4 linked regions of the Coturnix japonica genome follow. The protein of the gene in region 2 binds, or shares a complex with, the protein of the main gene of each other region. Links are inferred from orthologs where the notes say so. Each region holds a gene or a part of one and is shown on either strand. Other genes may lie near its edges.

The links. The genes of interacting proteins can lie anywhere in the genome.
Region 1: BNIP1 (region 2) and VTI1B share a complex: the UniProt entries of both Homo sapiens proteins name them as parts of the SNARE complex. The link is inferred for Coturnix japonica from reciprocal best matches to the Homo sapiens genes BNIP1 and VTI1B.
Region 3: BNIP1 (region 2) and STX18 share a complex: the UniProt entries of both Homo sapiens proteins name them as parts of the SNARE complex. The link is inferred for Coturnix japonica from reciprocal best matches to the Homo sapiens genes BNIP1 and STX18.
Region 4: BNIP1 (region 2) and BET1L share a complex: the UniProt entries of both Homo sapiens proteins name them as parts of the SNARE complex. The link is inferred for Coturnix japonica from reciprocal best matches to the Homo sapiens genes BNIP1 and BET1L.

What each region holds. Positions count from the first base shown.
Region 1 is NC_029520.1:27,588,993-27,593,026, forward strand, and holds the start of VTI1B (vesicle transport through interaction with t-SNAREs homolog 1B), read left to right. Parts: upstream 1-1,234; 5' UTR 1,235-1,240; coding exon 1,241-1,574; intron 1,575-3,541; coding exon 3,542-3,600; intron 3,601-3,797; coding exon 3,798-3,989; intron 3,990-4,034. Other genes in the region: retinol dehydrogenase 12, read right to left, coding at 606-724, 1,093-1,187. UniProt on the Homo sapiens protein: V-SNARE that mediates vesicle transport pathways through interactions with t-SNAREs on the target membrane. These interactions are proposed to mediate aspects of the specificity of vesicle trafficking and to promote fusion of the lipid bilayers.
Region 2 is NC_029528.1:11,061,596-11,065,795, forward strand, and holds the start of BNIP1 (vesicle transport protein SEC20), read left to right. Parts: upstream 1-1,400; 5' UTR 1,401-1,426; coding exon 1,427-1,534; intron 1,535-1,652; coding exon 1,653-1,960; intron 1,961-2,508; coding exon 2,509-2,610; intron 2,611-3,312; coding exon 3,313-3,431; intron 3,432-4,200. UniProt on the Homo sapiens protein: As part of a SNARE complex may be involved in endoplasmic reticulum membranes fusion and be required for the maintenance of endoplasmic reticulum organization. Also plays a role in apoptosis.
Region 3 is NC_029519.1:71,390,344-71,394,338, forward strand, and holds the start of STX18 (syntaxin-18), read right to left. Parts: upstream 2,801-3,995; 5' UTR 2,739-2,800; coding exon 2,577-2,738; intron 1-2,576. UniProt on the Homo sapiens protein: Syntaxin that may be involved in targeting and fusion of Golgi-derived retrograde transport vesicles with the ER.
Region 4 is NC_029520.1:1,401,932-1,405,961, forward strand, and holds BET1L (BET1-like protein), read left to right. Parts: upstream 1-1,343; 5' UTR 1,344-1,467; coding exon 1,468-1,486; intron 1,487-1,627; coding exon 1,628-1,719; intron 1,720-2,063; coding exon 2,064-2,120; intron 2,121-2,819; coding exon 2,820-2,987; 3' UTR 2,988-3,530; downstream 3,531-4,030. Other genes in the region: RIC8A (synembryn-A), read right to left, coding at 944-1,027. UniProt on the Homo sapiens protein: Vesicle SNARE required for targeting and fusion of retrograde transport vesicles with the Golgi complex. Required for the integrity of the Golgi complex.

The DNA of each region.
Region 1 (4,034 bases), on a different chromosome or scaffold from region 2:
CTATGGAACTGACTTCAGTCCAGGGGAGCAGCTGACAAGCACAACAACTCTTGTTGTAGATTGTTAGCTCCAAGCCAGCTCAGACCTGTTTTATGACAGGGAGATTGCACATCTGAAGTGCCTCTGTCCAGCTTCTCCCAGGTGAGGTGAGTGCACTGCAGCCCTGGTATGACCAGGTTGTATTTGTGGCTGTATGGGAGCACTAGGGCCTACACACGCAGGGTTGCTTGGACTCCAGCCAGAGCCATTGCTGGGTACTTTCACTGCCCTGCTAGTTACCAAAAAACATTTAAGCCAGTTTTGAACCATGAGCGGATCTGAGCCATTTCCCATCCCCAAACAAGGTAGAGCCCTGTGACTCCAGGCACTTCCTTGGTCCTCCCGAGGTGGCCACAGCGCTGAGTATTTCTACACGCTGAGACACGGGGTCAGGGTTCAAGCAGTGAATGCAGCTGGGAACTGGGGAACTGCACCTCAGGGGTTACAGCCCTGTCTGAAGGACCTTCAGAATGTGGCTCTTAGAAACACGGCCCCAGGCTGCAGACCACGACGCGTGGTGCCGGATCGCATCAGCCGCACCCGCTCGCAGCGTGACGCCGACTTGCCTCTCCGGGCGAGCTCCCTGGCGGTCTCTTTGCCGATGCCGGTGTTGGCGCCCGTGATCACCGCCACCTTCCCGTCCAGCCTGGCCGCGGACCCGCAGCGCCCTCCGGCCACGTACCGCCTGCAAGAGAGCGGCGGGACTCGACGGCGGCTCCGAGCCCGACATCGGACCGGGCACCGCGACACCCCGCTCCGCCCGCTCCGCCCGCTCCGGTGGGGCCACGGCTGCCATTGGCTGACAGCGCGGCTCCCGGCGCGGCGGCCAATGGAGTCGGCGCGGCGCCGTGGGGCGAACCCGGGCCACCGGCTCCCACCGCCCCGTGCTCGGCTGAGCCGGACCCCCCGCGGGAGCGGCTCGAGCCGGCTGCCGCCAACCGCACACCGCCGTAACAGCGCTGCCCGAAAGCCCTTTGTATGTCTCCAACCCCCAGAAAGGAGCCGCTTAGCCCGGCGGCACGGAGCCCCCCGAGGCGCCCCACAGCCCCGCACCTGACGTAGGGCGCCGCCGCCAGCAGCACGAGGGGCACGGACACGGCGGCGCCCAGCACCGCGCCCCAGCAGCTCAGCATCGCCGACGGCTCCATCCGCGCCGCGTCCGCCCCGCACTGATCGCGCCCGGAGGAGCCGCCCCGCCCCAATGGGAGCAATGGGCGGTGCAGGGCGGGGCGGGGCGGAGCACCACGAGGCGGCGCTGCGACTACGGCTCCCAGCGGGCAGCGCGCCGCCAGGACCCCGCTCCGCCTGGGCTGCCCCGGTGCCGCGGTCAGGCAGCGCGGGGCGTCTCATTGCGCAGGCGCGGGTCCTCGCGGCCGATGGCGGAAGCGGCGCCGGGCAGTGCCCCGTACGGCCCATCGCCATGGCGGAGCGCGGCCCCGCGTCCTCCGAGCACCTGGAGCGGCTGCACGAGATCTTCCGCGGGCTGCACGGGGAGCTGCGCGCCGTGCCGGAGCGGCTGCGGGGCGGCGCGGCGGGTGAGGCGGGGCGGATCCGGCTCGGCGCTTTCGTCGGGTTCGCGGAGGTTTCTCCCGCAGCGCGGCGAGGCCCCGCGGTCCGGCCCGGCGCTGCCCGAGCCGAGGGGCTCGTTTGGCTCCGCTCCCGGCGCACAGCGCTCGGCTGTGGCGTAGCGGAGAACGGGAAGTGGGCGCGGAGGCGGGGAAGCACCGGCTGGGTGTGAGGGGTGCGGTGTCCGGGCTGCCCGGTTCAGTCTAATACCGGGTTAAATGCAGGGTCACCATCCTATTCGTTTCCAGAAAGTACAGTGGGAGGCACTTAAAACTATGGGCCGCAGCTTTCAAGGCCAGAAGGCAGAGCAGGCTGCTCACAGAAGCTGTGGAGTCTCCTCCAGTGATATTCAGGACCCTCCTGGATGCTTTCCTTGGTGACCTGCAGGGAACTGGCTTTAACAGTGGGTTGGACAGGGTGATCCCCTGGGGTCCTTTCCAAACCCTGCAGTTCTGTGATTCAAAGCTGCCTTTGTTTTATTGACAGTCACCAAGAAGGAAAAGCATAAAGGAAGGGATGCCCCTTTGTGAAGAAGGGCCCTGGAATCTGGGCATCGTTTCTATACAATTAATGGGAGGAGGTTGCAGGGTAGGGTGAGGGTTATTTTGCTGCCTTGAAATACAAACTCAACCCTGTTGCTGGGGAAAGAATGGGGAGAGACCGTGCTCACACATATTGAAAAATGCCCCACAACGCTTGAATTTCAAAGAACAGAAATTTCCTTGCAGAAAGGAGGGTTGTCAGTTTTGTGGACAAAAGTAAACTATTGCCAGGTCCCCAGATCTGTGATATTCCCAAGGAAGTATAACAAGGGAGTTCATGTGAAGTCAGGAATTTATCTCTCTTTTGAAGGCATTTGTAAGGCATTCTTTGCTGTCCATGCCCACATGGGTCTTCATTTTTCACACTGTCATGAAAAGTCTGTGGGACAACAGATGGTGTCCTGTGTACTCCTTTGAGATGATTGGTAACTTCCCAGACTGCAGGGAGGACAAAATGTGTCATTGTTGGACCATCTTCCATGTGGAAATGTTATCTTACAAGCTAATAAATTCTCAGGTCTGGAAGCAAGTGTTTTCTTCCTTCCAAACCTATAAGAAAGCATTTTAAATGGCATTGATCAGTTTCTGCTATAGATCCCATTCTCTGAGTAAACAGTTAACTGCCTTTTTCAACTGATTGTTTTTCGGTTGGTTTAAATGAGATCTCACAGATGCTGAGAAACATGTGGGTAATGTTTCTGTGGCTGAAGTGCAGTGCTGTACTGATCCAATTGTGGGCACCCAAAGAGGGTAAAATACTGCTTTTTCAGCACTGCTTCGGGTTTCAATGGGTTCGAGACAGCAGCAGTTGTTCTAAGAGGGCACTACATTCACCAAAGGAGTGGAGTGTCCTGCGTGAGCAGAATGGTGACTTTAGAAAGTTGTTTCCTTGCTGTGTGTGCCCGTGTCCTTGCTAGCAGCCTGGCTGTTCAAGCAGTTGAATCAGCACAAATGTACGTGGCAGAAAAGCAGGGGAGGAGCTGAGGATAGTCAATGTAGGAACCCCATAAATCAGCATTTCCTGCAGCGCTAAACTTATGTTTAAACTTATCTATCTTAAGTGCACTACAAGTCAAACTCAGGGGCTTAATGGGGATTTGAACTGAAAGGGAAGGGCCCTGGTGTGGCCACGGCACATCCATAAGATGAGCTGGTTTTAGGTGTTTTGATCTAACATCCAGTGTGGTTCCAGAAAAGAGAAGTATTTGGACAACCTGATCTGGTGTATTGATGGTGTCTTCCATCTCAGAGCTCTGCAGGGTGCTTGTCTTATTTGAGTGGTTGTTTTTAGTGAACTGCTAGGATGCAAAAACCCGATTTGCTGGAAATCAGGATTTCAAGTTCTGCTTTAGTTTTGTTGGGGTTTATCTCACGTGTTGCTCTTTCTTGTGCAGAGGAGAAGAAAAAGCTGATTCGGGAGTTTGATGAGAAGCAGCGTGAAGCAAATGAAACGGTAAGTTTAAGCCTGGAATTGTGGCCTTTCTGGCCACTTAATATGTTGATTGCCCTAGAAAGGACAGTATCCCAAGTTTTACTTTAATGTTCTTATGTGAACATAATATGTGAATCCCTTCATCTAGTGTAAGTTCTGGGTACAGCTGTTTATAAGAATGAATGTGATGCTTTAAAATAAGTGTTCTTTTCTTTAAGCTCCGGGAAATGGAAGAAGAACTGAAGTATGCTCCTCTACCATTCCGCAATCAAATGATGAGCAAAATCCGGGCATACAGAAGGGACCTCTCCATGTTCCAGAGGGAGATGAGAAGCACAGATTTGGGACTGGGCCCTGGAAGTCAAGGGGATATGAAATACGGAATCTTTTCCACAGAAAATGAACAGAGTGTGAGCATCTGATAGAAACTGTATTTAAAGCTTCTGTGATTATGA
Region 2 (4,200 bases):
GAAATAGCAGATGCCATTCTGTTCCTCTGACTTGCTTGCTAGTCTTCCTGAGGTTCTGTTGAGGCGTAACCAGTTGTGTACCATGAATGTTAGGGTCTGTGTTTGGCCTTGAGACCTGAATTTCAAGAATGCATCTAATCGTTGTTATTTCGGAGGCTTCAGTTGGACTTCCCGTGTTCAGTGTGCTGCTAGATGTGGTCTTGGCTTCCTGACACAGCCATGCACAGAGCTGAAATCTGTTTTGTTTACCCCAGGGATCGTGTGAAGTACATTTCAGTTACTGCTTTGGTGACTGATTCTTTTTGTAACTGTATTAAGGGCATTAGTACGTTGAGAAAACACCACTCTTGAATATCTCCCAATACAAATTGGGACTCCTACGTGTCGTTAATGAAAGATGGCACTTTTAGGCTCTATCTTCTTTGCAATATACAAAAGTATCTCAATCTCTGTCTGATTTCCATTTCACAACGTGCCGTGTTTTTCCCCAGTGCTCCTCACATGTAGCAAAGGCATGTGTGTGCATTGTTTTACAGCCCTCAGCCTCGTAGACATCCGTGAACTTCCACAGGACTAAATGCTGGCAGTGCATTTGTTGTCTTTCTAATGAGCAGAGGAGCTAAAAGTGGAACCAGAACTATCTTAAGCCACAATCTTTCTTCATAAAAATGAAAGGCTTTTTGGATAACACCAGTGTTCCAATGCTTCCCTGCGGGTAGTTGCTCATTCCATGTCTGGATAAGTCAAGTTTGGGTGTTTATCCATCTACAGGAAGGAAAACTTTCTGTGCTGGATTTTGTATTGACAAAAGCACAATCCACCCGAGGGAAAACCTCTCAATTAAGAACTGACCCCGGGAGTAGCATTTAATTGTACTGATCTTTCATATTGTACTTTCTCCTTTGAGAAGTGACCTCAAACTTCATTGTTCGGTATCTGTGCTCGGGTGAACACGAAGGCTGATGGCACGAGGGTGGAAAAGGCAAAACATGGCATCCTCCATCACTGGCTTCCAATGGGAGCTCAGAGAAACTCCATGAAAGTCGTGTCTCTGTTAGGAAATAAACTCTCCTGTTCAAAGCATGATCTGTTCAGAGCTGCGCTGTTAGATGTTGGTTAATAGCTGTGCGATCTTTATTTTTATTTTTATTTTATTGAAAAGAGGCACAATCCCACCATTGACTTTGTTCCCTGTTCCCCACACACCTCCTCGGTCCCTCGCAACTTCTATTCAGACTCAAAATTTCATCAATGTACGCGACATCCTTTGTAATTTAAAATAAAAATCGTGGAGGAAACACTGTCTGAAATCATCGCGTGTGTTTGTGTGTTGTGTTGTGGGATGGATCCTGTGGGGGCCTGAGGCCTTTCCTATTTCCACACACTGGATGACGGGCGGGCTGTGGGGGCCAGCAGGGGGCGCTCCATGTCCCGCCTTTCCATTCCCAAGATGGCGGCGGCCGGCTCGGTGCCTGTGCGGGTGTGTCACCAGGAGATCGTCAAATTCGACCTGGAGATCAAGGCGGCCGTGCAGGTAGAGCCGCCCTCGGAGCCCCCTTTAGACGAAGGAACCCTTCGGTGCGGGTTGCGAGGCTCCCGCTGCTTGGCCCTGCTTGCCACGTAGTGCTTTAGGCCGTGCCGTTGTCTTCCAGGATATCCGGGATTGCCCGGGGCCGCTCAGCGCCCTCACGGAGCTCAACGCTGCGGTGAAGGAGAAATTCCGGCACCTCCGAGGCCGCATCCAGGTGGGGTTGTGCTGCTTGAAGCCCCCCTGGGCTCCCCTCGGGGCCGCTGCAGCTCCGCTCCCTTCCCTTGGAGCTGCAGGTGGCAGCGGTCAGCCTGATATTATTCCCGTTTTTTTGTCCAAGGAGCTGGAACAGATGGCGAGGGAGCAAGATAAAGAGTCGGAGAAACAGGCCTTGCTGCAGGAAGTGGAGAACCATAAAAAGCAAATGCTCAGGTAGGCCGTGTTTTGTAGGCTGTGTTGTGTACAGGTGCACCCAGTCCTCAGAGGTAGCTGCCTTCAGGGTGCTCTTTCAGTTCCTCTTTAGCAGACCCAGTCAGTGACACGGTGCTGCCTTTATTAAGACCAAGAGCAGGTCCTGGCACAGGTTACCCAGAGAAGTGGTTGTTCCCCATCCCTGCAGACACCCAAGGTCAGAACTGGAGGGGCTCTAGAACTGTGGGAGTCCCTATTCATTGCAGGGGGTTGGACCAGATGGCTTTTAAAGGGCCCCTTCCAACCCAAGTGATTCTGTGATCAGGGACAGAAAGAGGAGGGCTCCCATCTCCTTCCTGGCTCTCTGAGCAGGTCTGTCCGTTTGAGTGACTAAGCCTGGAATGATACACTTAGGAAATGAAAGAACAACATACTGTCACTCAGTGGTATAATGCAGAGAAAGTCTATGTGCATACATGGATCTTAGTTATGGTGACTGCTCTGTGAAAGTGATTTCTGCTTACAGGGTGTTGCCATCGCACTGCAACATTGTGCTCTTGTGATTTCAGCAATCAGGCAGCTTGGAGAAAAGCAAATCTGGCTTGCAAAATCGCTATCGACAACTCTGAGAAAGATCAGCTGCTGCAGGGAAGAGACTCCTTAAGACAAAGGTATTAAAGTGTCCCCTTGAATGATGTGAGACTTAAACAATGTTGCCATACTCACTAGTACCAATGAAAGCAATGTGATGTGCTTGAAGTGATTGGATTGTACTCAGAAAGTAGCTTTTATAGCTTTTATTGTAATGGAATGCTGTTGTCTAATTATGAAGGCTTAAACTGTGAAGAATTGTCATAATTCCAGGGCTTTTTTAGTGTTTGCATGTCAAAGCAGAGGTGAAATTGTGGTAGGCCTCATAACTTTTGTGATTTTCTTTTTTATTAATTCCTGCCAGGGTCATAAGCAAGTAGTGGATCACTGTGCAAGTTGTTTTCCTTTGTAGATGTGGATATAAGTTTGTATAACTCCTGAATGGAGAAGTTGACAAGGTTGGTGTTGTGGAGCAGCAAGGAGGATAGCTGAGGAGATGAAATGGTAGTTTGTATCAGTGCTTCCATGTCACCTTATGAAGCTGTGCCATCGTGGCTGAATGACTGCTACAGCATGAGCTCTGTGAGACTCTGAGCCGCAGTTGTTCAGGTTGATGGCTTCAGTAATTGGTGATTTCTCTTCAGTAGTTCAGCAAAGATTATCTCCAGTTCTCATGCAGTAAAACTTGCTTGTATCTTTTGTACACAGAGCACAGCTGCGCGTTCCTGCTGTACCAAAGACACTGTTCTATCCCTGAGTGTTTTCTTCTTTTGCTTTTTCAGGAAGACTACAAAGGAAAGTCTGGCAGAAAGTGCAAGTAACATCACGGAGAGTCTGATGAGCATCAGTAGGATGATGTCACAGCAAGTCCAGCAGAGCGAGGAGACTGTGCAGACCCTGGGTACAGATGGAGCTGGGCTTTGGGGTGTGGGTTGCATGGCTGAAGAACCTTTCAACTGTTCTGTTAGGGTGAGGGGAGCCAAGCTGTCATGATGCAGAGCATGGTGGAAATACACATTGCATTAGGAGAGCTTGCTCTGATGGTAATTCAGGGGTTGTTCAGCAGATCTCCTCTAACATTTGAACAGAAATACTGTTGTATGTTGCATGAAGTTTTTTTTGCTGGAGTTCTTGTTTAATGTTTGTAGAACTCAATTTTATATGAAAGCAGTTGTGGAAGGGGTGTGAATTCTCACAGAGTTAGCAGTGTGTATGATATTACTCTGTGCTACTGTCCTGACATGCGTTTGGCAACAGAGGAGTAAAGAGCACAGGTACAAGTCCATATGTAGAGAAAACAGTCTGAGTAGGAAGGCTGTTTTCACCCCGTCTCCAGCTGGGATGACTAAGAGACAAGGCAGTTGAGTGACTTGAACCCGAGGTCACTTGTTCTGTCCGCTGTGCATCAGGGACTGTGAAACCAAGACTTTAGTCAGTTATTTGGCTTAGACTCCTAAGAAGATAAATCAAGTGACCTCTCAAAATCAGTGATTCATGAACCATTTGGCTCTCTGTACTCTTGGCCTCTCACTAGCTGTGCTGTTGAGCAGAAGAGAGAGCAGTGTAAGGGCTGGGATCAATGCCACAACCTTCACCCTCTTCTGGGGGTTTCCTGACCCCATCTGAGGATGGCAGCTGGGCCCAGTTTGTTCATACAAAAGTAGCATGTT
Region 3 (3,995 bases), on a different chromosome or scaffold from region 2:
AAAGACCTTGAAGATCAAGTCCAACAGCAGCCTAACCATAGTACCCTAACTCTAACAACCCTTTGCTAAATCATATCCCTGAGCACCATATCCAAACGGCTCTTAAACACATCCAAGGATGGCAATTCAACCTCCTCCCTGGGGAGCCTATTCCAGTACTTAAATACCCTCTCTGTAAAGAAGTGCTTCCTAATATCCAACCTAAACTTGCCCTGGTGCAACTTGAGGCCATATTCAGGTTTTATTGAGGTTTTATTCAGGGCTATTCTAGACCTGGCAACTGCATGTCCTATCCTATTAAAAAGGTTAATACAGTAAGCAGGTCTTTTCCAATCTTGGTGATTCTTTGATTCGGGTTATTTTATTTTTTTAACTGACATTTTCAACAAGAAAAGAAGGAATACTTGATCCAGTAATTAACTGGAAATTGGCAGGTGGTCTTGAAAAATACAATATTGTTGGATTATTAAAGATGTTTGTATAACTGAAAAAAGTCTGAGTGCTAATACTGACATTCTGGTTTCTCTGGCAAGAGAACAAAGCAGACCCAGCTTTCACTTGACTGTCTCCTTTTCACATGTAAAGGCAAATTAAACAGTGCTATAACTGGGGCTGTGTGTTAGTTGCTAGTAGGGACCAGGCTAGTAGGCACCACATTTTTCTCCACTGTTTTTAGCATTTTGAATATTTCTTGGTCTTCTAAAAACTCAGATGTAATTCACTGTGTTCTGAAGCCACTAACTTGAACATGGGGATTTTTCCTGCTCATTATAGAGGACGAAACAGCACAACCAAACATATTCTTGATGTGAATATGGGCCTATTATATGGACTAAAAAATGAAATAAAATATAAAAGAATTGATCATTCTACAGAATACAGAGAAAGAAGTTATATGAAGAACAGATGTTGTAGCCCCACGAATCTGGCATTCTTACGCGTTCAACAGCTTCAATCACAGACATTCTATCATTCTGAAATCCTGCATTTAAAGGCTCAGAAACTATTAACCTTTCAAATTTTCCCTTCTCAAGGACATGCTTTCAGATACTGCTTTTGAAGAATTTAACTTGTAGCACTTAAATTTTCTAGCTGTTTGCAAGAACATTAAAAACCAGATAATCTCCCTAACAAAACAGAAAAAAAAAAAAGTAATAACTTTTGGTTGGAATCAAGCCCGTTGTGAGATTCAGCTTTGCCACTCATTGCATTTCTCTTAATAAGCAGTATCAACCTTAATTTCATTTCTGTAACACATACTGAACAGTCAGCAGTGATTAAATCTCATCCCTTCAATATTCTCAAATAAGTATATATTTGACAGATGATCTTCCTAATAGCTTGTACTTGCCATAAAAAGTAAAGCAGATGGCTTAAATAAGATTGTCTAAGACAGTGCAAGTGCCAACCTGTTGGTATAAGACTACGGTAAAGCTGAGAACAAGTGTCACATAAGCTGGTCCTATGTGATATCTGTACTGGTTATATATTGGTATCAAATCAGATACCAAAACCAAGTTATTATGCAAGTCTATAGAAGTGTGATTGAAACAATCTTTAATACCCACATTCACTGAATGCAAAATTGTTCTGTCAAACTATTAGTCCAAGGACAATAACCAAAATTGTTTTTGTTGACCAAAATGCACTAATACCCAAACAGTAAATTCTAACAGCATTTCATAAATGTGAAGCAATGGAACGTCCATCACTGTATCATTGGTTTCTTAAGGGCCAAAGGTTCCTTGCCATCCCTTGCTCAGCCCTACACTAGCACGTGTGTTCTGGAAGTCTGTCTCCTCATAGAGAATCACAGAGCACACTGAGCAGGCTGTTCCTCCCAGCTTTTCCAAATCACAGAATGCCTTAGGTTGGAAGAGACCTTAAAGATCACCCAGCTCCAATCCCCTCCCCATCCATGGGCAGGGCTGACACCCACTTGAGCAGGCAGCCCAGCCAACCTGGCCTTGAACCCCTCCAATGTGCATTCCAGTGCCTGATTAAGGGCCTTACTCAAACCGTGCTCTGACACCACTATCCCCCCTCCGCACCCTTTGCTCAGTACGGGGGTAAAGAACCTGCAACAAGTTTACAATCATACTTAGTAATATTATTAACGCTGATCAGCCTCCAATTCAGCAATTCCTTCGCCTCTCAGTGCTTGTCTCTCCAAGCTGTATGACACCCCAGTTCATACGGACCCGGCATATACGGACCCGCCATACCGTGTGACACAAGAAACAGATGTGCAATAAGGCACAACTCGGCACTACAAAGACTCGCCCACTCGTTCCGGAGCCGACCTACATGGCAGCCCAGGGCTCGTGGGCACCGAGGGGACGCGGCCATGGAAGCCCGGATCCCCAGCCTGGAGTTACGGGAGCCGGGTGCGGGGGGTGGGGCTGGGATCCCTCCGGCCGCCACATCAGCTCCGGCTCCCGGCCCACATCCGCCTGGGGCCAGCGCTGCCCCGACTCTCTCTGCGGCCCTTCAGGAGCCACTCTCTCGCCCCGGCTCCCCGGGGAGGGCTGCCCGCCGCCTTCCCCCTGCCCCGGCCGCCCGCTGCCCGCACTCACCACCTCCCGTGCCCGCCCGGTGAAGTCGCTCCTAGAGCGGGCAGCGCTGCGCTTGAGCAGCTCATCCCGAGCGCTGTCGCCAGCCGCCACCCCCAGCGCCTTATTGCGGGTCTTCACCGTCTTCACGCTGGCTTTGAAGAGCAGGGTGATGTCCACCGCCATGGCGGCCAGCCCGGCCCCGTCCACCGGTGCCTCCGCGTTTTGCCTTCCCCGAGCAACGCGGCCCCGCGCAGCGCGTTCCGCTCGGTCGGCTCCAGGGATGGGTGCGGTGGGAAGGGAGCATCGCGGTGTTGCTGTGCGGGGATCCTGCTCTGCTGCCTCCCATCGCGGAGCGAAAGATTGAGGAATAAAATCTATATTCCAGCCAAATTCTGACGTGTGGATCGCCGAGCTGTGGTGTCGCGGCAGGTGTCACCAGGTGGTGCTGTTAGACAGAGTCATCCAAGCCGTCGGCCTTGGAATTCAGTCTAGGAAAGAAGGGTTAATTGGAGTTGATTAATGGGCTTCAGCAGGTTTGCACCAGGGGATGGGTTTTGTGCTGCTGTGAAATTTCCATTGGAGATGGCCGTACGTGTATTAATATATTGATTATTGGTTATTTCATAGAATCATTGAGGTTGGAAAGGACCCTTAAAGGCCATCTAGTCCAGCTCCCCTGCAATGAACAGAGACACCTACAGCTCCATCAAGTTGCTCAGAGCCTGTTCCAGCCTGAGCTTAAGTGTCCCCAGGGATGGGACAGCCACCACATTTCTGGGCAACCTCTACCAGTGCCTGACCACCCTCACTGTAAAAGATTTTTTCCCTATATCCAATCTAAATCTCCCTTATTTTAGTTTGAAATCATTTCCCCTTGTTCTTTCACAACAGATACTGCTAAAGAGTCTGTCTCCTTTCTTACAGCTCCCATTTAGATACTGACAGGCCACCCTCAGGTCTCCCCCAGGGCCTTCTCTTCTATAGGCTGAACAGCCCCAGCTCTCTCAGCCTGTCCTCATGTGTTCATGTAGGCCCACAGCTTGAGTCTTTCTGGGTCTCTCTGGAGTGCTATGTTTCTTCTTGAACACAATAGATAGAACAACTTCAATACACCTGTAATGTGTGTAGTGATTTCTGTGCCTGTTAAGGCCCTTGAGATCTACTGCCATTCCACATTTGGTCAGTATCACTGGTACTCCAAGGACAAACCCTGCAGGGAGCTACAATGCACAGCTATTATTAATTTGACTGAATCAGAGGAAAGCTTTCTGAAATACCCTTTGCTATTATTTTAGTTGTGGCAATTTCATTACCATGTGCTGTGCAGAAGATAAGTGACTGGAAAGGAAACTGTGTGGCACAGCAGTGAAAACTTCTGACCAAATAACTAGTGGTGGTAGTGAGTGTATGCTATATTATACTTTAGGATCCCACAGACTT
Region 4 (4,030 bases), on a different chromosome or scaffold from region 2:
CCTATGCTCTACACGCTGACAAAGAAACCAGCTGGAGGAATTCAAAGCATTGGATTTAGTGCCTCAACACGGTTGCACAACAAATGCCATTTACTATCCTAATTTCTCCAGCACACCAGCTGCTGCCAGCAACGCTAATCCTGCAGACCAACCTTTTAAAAGGGACCTGCTGTTTCAAAACCGACTGCTGGAAACAGTTAGTGCAGGAAGGGAAGTGCACATGCTTGTAAGATAAGCACAGGTTTTCCCCACCAGCTTCCCTCCTACTTCAGAATGGTGCAGAATGAGTCACAGATCTGCAGGGCCAGCCCTAGCCTGGTGGAAACCCTCTGAAGGAAATTTCCCTGGCAGACAGTTTCAAAAGGGAACTACCCCTGCAGATGATCTAAGGTTAGAGTCACTCGCACTTCAGCTTCCTGACCCGGTCTTTTTCATGTTCTACACTCATTATTTCATGCGCCAGCTTTCAGATCAGGCACCCTAATCCAATCCCAGCATCCATTCACACCAACTCCTAATTGTCTTTTGCTTACAAATCACAACAATCCTACCTGCAGCTCCTCCCTAGGTGTGAGTTTTATTACCTCCAAACCTTGCCTAGCATCAAGGCTCCTCCTACTCCTCATGCCCATGATTATTCCCCTACCGGGTTTAACTTGCAATCTGGATAATAAAGAAAATCCTTCCCATGTACTTTTCTTCCAGCATAAACAAGATAAAGGGAGGCTTCTTAGCTGCTTCCTAGTAAAGCATCATTAAGAAGCAGCTTGCAAGTAACAAAACAAAGCAGTCTATGACATCTCCAGGGCAATAATGCAGAGACAGATGCTCAGAGGAGATGGGATAGCTGGGCAGCACTGTGAACCCATAACACGGCCCAACCTGCTTCCAGGCTTGCTGACAGCAGCAGGTGACATCAGGCTGAGGTGTGATGCTCACTCACCTCCTGGTTGTAGATCTGAAGCACCTTGAGGACCGCGTCTTGCTCCCCGCTTTCCACCGTGGCCACTACGGTCCTGAGCTCCATGATACCAACAGCTCAGCTACAGCAGGATGGGAAGCAGAGAGGAAAGGCTTCCAGAGCTCCTGGATAACAGCGGTGCAAAGGGACCTCGATCCTTGAGAACTGAGAGGCAGTGAGAAAGGGGGTGGGGAAAAAGAAACAAAAATCAAGCGAGCCGGCTCACTGCTGCGTCCATAAAGCAGACGGGTGAACCACGTACAGCCTCTCTGCCCCTCTAATCCTCTTCTTTCCTCTTTGCTTTCCGACGTTTAATGCATGCCCTCCCAGCACAGCGCTGGGACACCCCCCCCTCCCCACCCGAGGATTACCGCAGCAGATCACGGTGCTTCCCGTAATAGCTCCCCGCTCCTCACTACCCAACAGGGAAGGCGAAGGCCCAGCGGCCATTTTACAGAGGCGGAGCTCCTCCTGCCGGGCGGAGCCGCCTTTCGCCGTGTGCCGCCATGGCGGACTGGGGGCGAGGTGAGGGGGAAGGAGTGAGGGGCGCGCTGAGGGGCTGCTAAAGGGGGCGCCCCGCCGCCATCTTGGGGCACCCCGCCGCCATCTTGGGGATGTGCCATGCTCCCCAGTCGGGATGATGAGACGCGTTTCTTTTCTCCTCAGGACAGAATGCGGTTGCTATGGAGGATATGCTGGACGTGGAGAACAAGCGCATGACAGACAACCTGGCCAGCAAAGTCACCAGGCTGAAGTCGGTGAGTTGCTGGCGCTGCTATGGACGCTTGCAGGGTCTCAGGGACAACGCAGTTGTGTGGGCTTCCTCAGTGCTGTGGGCATACGATGGCTGACGTGTAGCAGTAGGAGGCAGTGCTGGTCCGTCAGCTGTTGTCATATGTCCAACATAGGGAAGTTTCTGCCAGCTTTCCCAGATTATTTCCACAGCAAAAGGATTCCCACAACCCCAAACTGCAGTGAGTGAGAGGCCTTGTTTTGTGGCTGTGCTTAACAAACCTCCACCACATCCTCTAGTGTGGGCCTAGATGCGTTCCAGGTTGTCTTGGTGTTCATTAACGTCAATTTCCTCTCTTATGCTGTGTAGCTGGCTCTGGATATTGATAAAGATGCTGATGAACAGAACCGTTACCTGGATAGCATGGTAAGGAACCAAAAAAGAAGGGTAAAAAGCATGAATTTCAATGTTGGGACCAGTTTGGTCAAAGGTGGGAGCTTGGAAGCTTAATAGCTTGGAACCTTAATAGCAGTGTATGGCCTTGGAGTATCTGAACTGGATATTTGTTCAGCCTAGAAATCAAAAGAGTGGAGAGTTGGAATGAGAGATGTAAAGACAAGAGATCTTAAAGGAGAAGCCCCGAATCAGCACGCAATTGTGCTTCTATTAGAGAAGATTTAGGGATATTTCAGGAGAAACGTGAGCAAAAAGTGGGAGGTAGTTTATGAGAAAGGAAAACAGACGTGGAGTCGAAATGATAATGAATTGCTTTAAGACTTGTTTGCTGCCACCTGGTGGTGTTACAAGTGTATGCTGCCCCATGCTGAAAGAAAAAAAAGAGAACTAATGGAAAGAAACTGCGTGGTTTTGGTGCTTTTTAGCCTGCCCTGGCAGGCATTAACGGTGCTAGCTTTATGTAGAGATACTTGGTATGCAGTATTTACCTGTGCCTTTGCCACGAGCGCAGGCAGGGAAGTTCCTCATAAGAGAGACACGATAGGTACAGAGATACAGGCAGTTACAGCGCAGCTGCTGCAGTTGTTCTTTAAGCAGGAAGCTGGACCCTCCTCATGGGCTGCCTCTCCAGTTTGAAATGCTGCTTTTTGCACTTTGTTTCTCCTCTAGGATTCGGATTTTCTGAGTGCTACTGGGCTGCTGACCGGCAGCATGAAGCGATTCAGCACCATGACACGCTCTGGGAGGGAGAACCGCAAGTTACTCTGCTTTGTTTCTGTAGGACTGGTTGTTGTTTTCTTCATCCTCTACTATCTTGTGTCCAAAGCTGGGACTTGATCTTGGTTCTTGCGTAGTTTTACTGAACTAAATCAATGTGATTGACAGACTTGTTCAGCGCCTTTCTAGATCTGCCCTGCTTTGGGATCCTTGGGACTTCCCAACAGACATTCCAGATAACTTTTAACCAGTGTTTTGTCACCATTCTGGCTGGTCTTGGAGGTAAAATGAGTATTTCACTGACAGCACATCCACCAGGCTGCTCTGGATGACACATCCCACCGCACATATAGACCCTGCAGCACCCAGACCTGGAAGAGCTCAGTCAGCCCCTGGGTGATGCCACTGTTGTTCAGCTCCTGCAGCATCACATCTGTCACCTTTCCTTGGCAGCTGCCTGCCCTGCAAAGACCATTCTAACTGGATTTCCACATATCACCTGATTTTGATGTTCATGCCTATATCTCTCGTCTCATCCATGTCTTGCAGCCAGTTCTTAAGGGATACTTTTGTCTTACCTCCATTACTAATACCTGGCATATCTGACAAATCCAGATGGTTATCAATACAGGTTTAATAAATCAGAGGTTTGGAAGCTGCAAAGTTTAGGCTGTAATGATTTATAAACTTTGGAATGATCAATGTGTGACTTAATCCAGCATGACCCCAATAAACGTGTGCCTGGGCTGGGTATGCCCTCATCCCCCTACTACCTAGCAGGAACTCAGGTGTTCAAGTGCTCCTCTGCACCCAACCCATAGGGCCCCATACATTCCCACCCCCAGGCATTCAAACACAGGGACAAGGCTTAACTTGCATGCATTTAATTTATTGTCCTCAACTGTGACACATGGGCTGCGTGCAGCATGTCCCTAGTGCAGGGGGATGTCACCAAGGGAATGGAATGATGTGACACGTCATGGGGGCTGCAGGGACAACATGGGATTGGCATCGATCACTGGGGTGGGGAGAGACTGTGGGGTATAATTGGGGCTGGGAGGGGAACACAGGGTGACCTTACAAGGTGCGGTATGTCTGTATATATGTGGGAACACATGGGATGCCCCTAAATACACAAGGTAAAAGCCTGTCTTTGTGGCAGG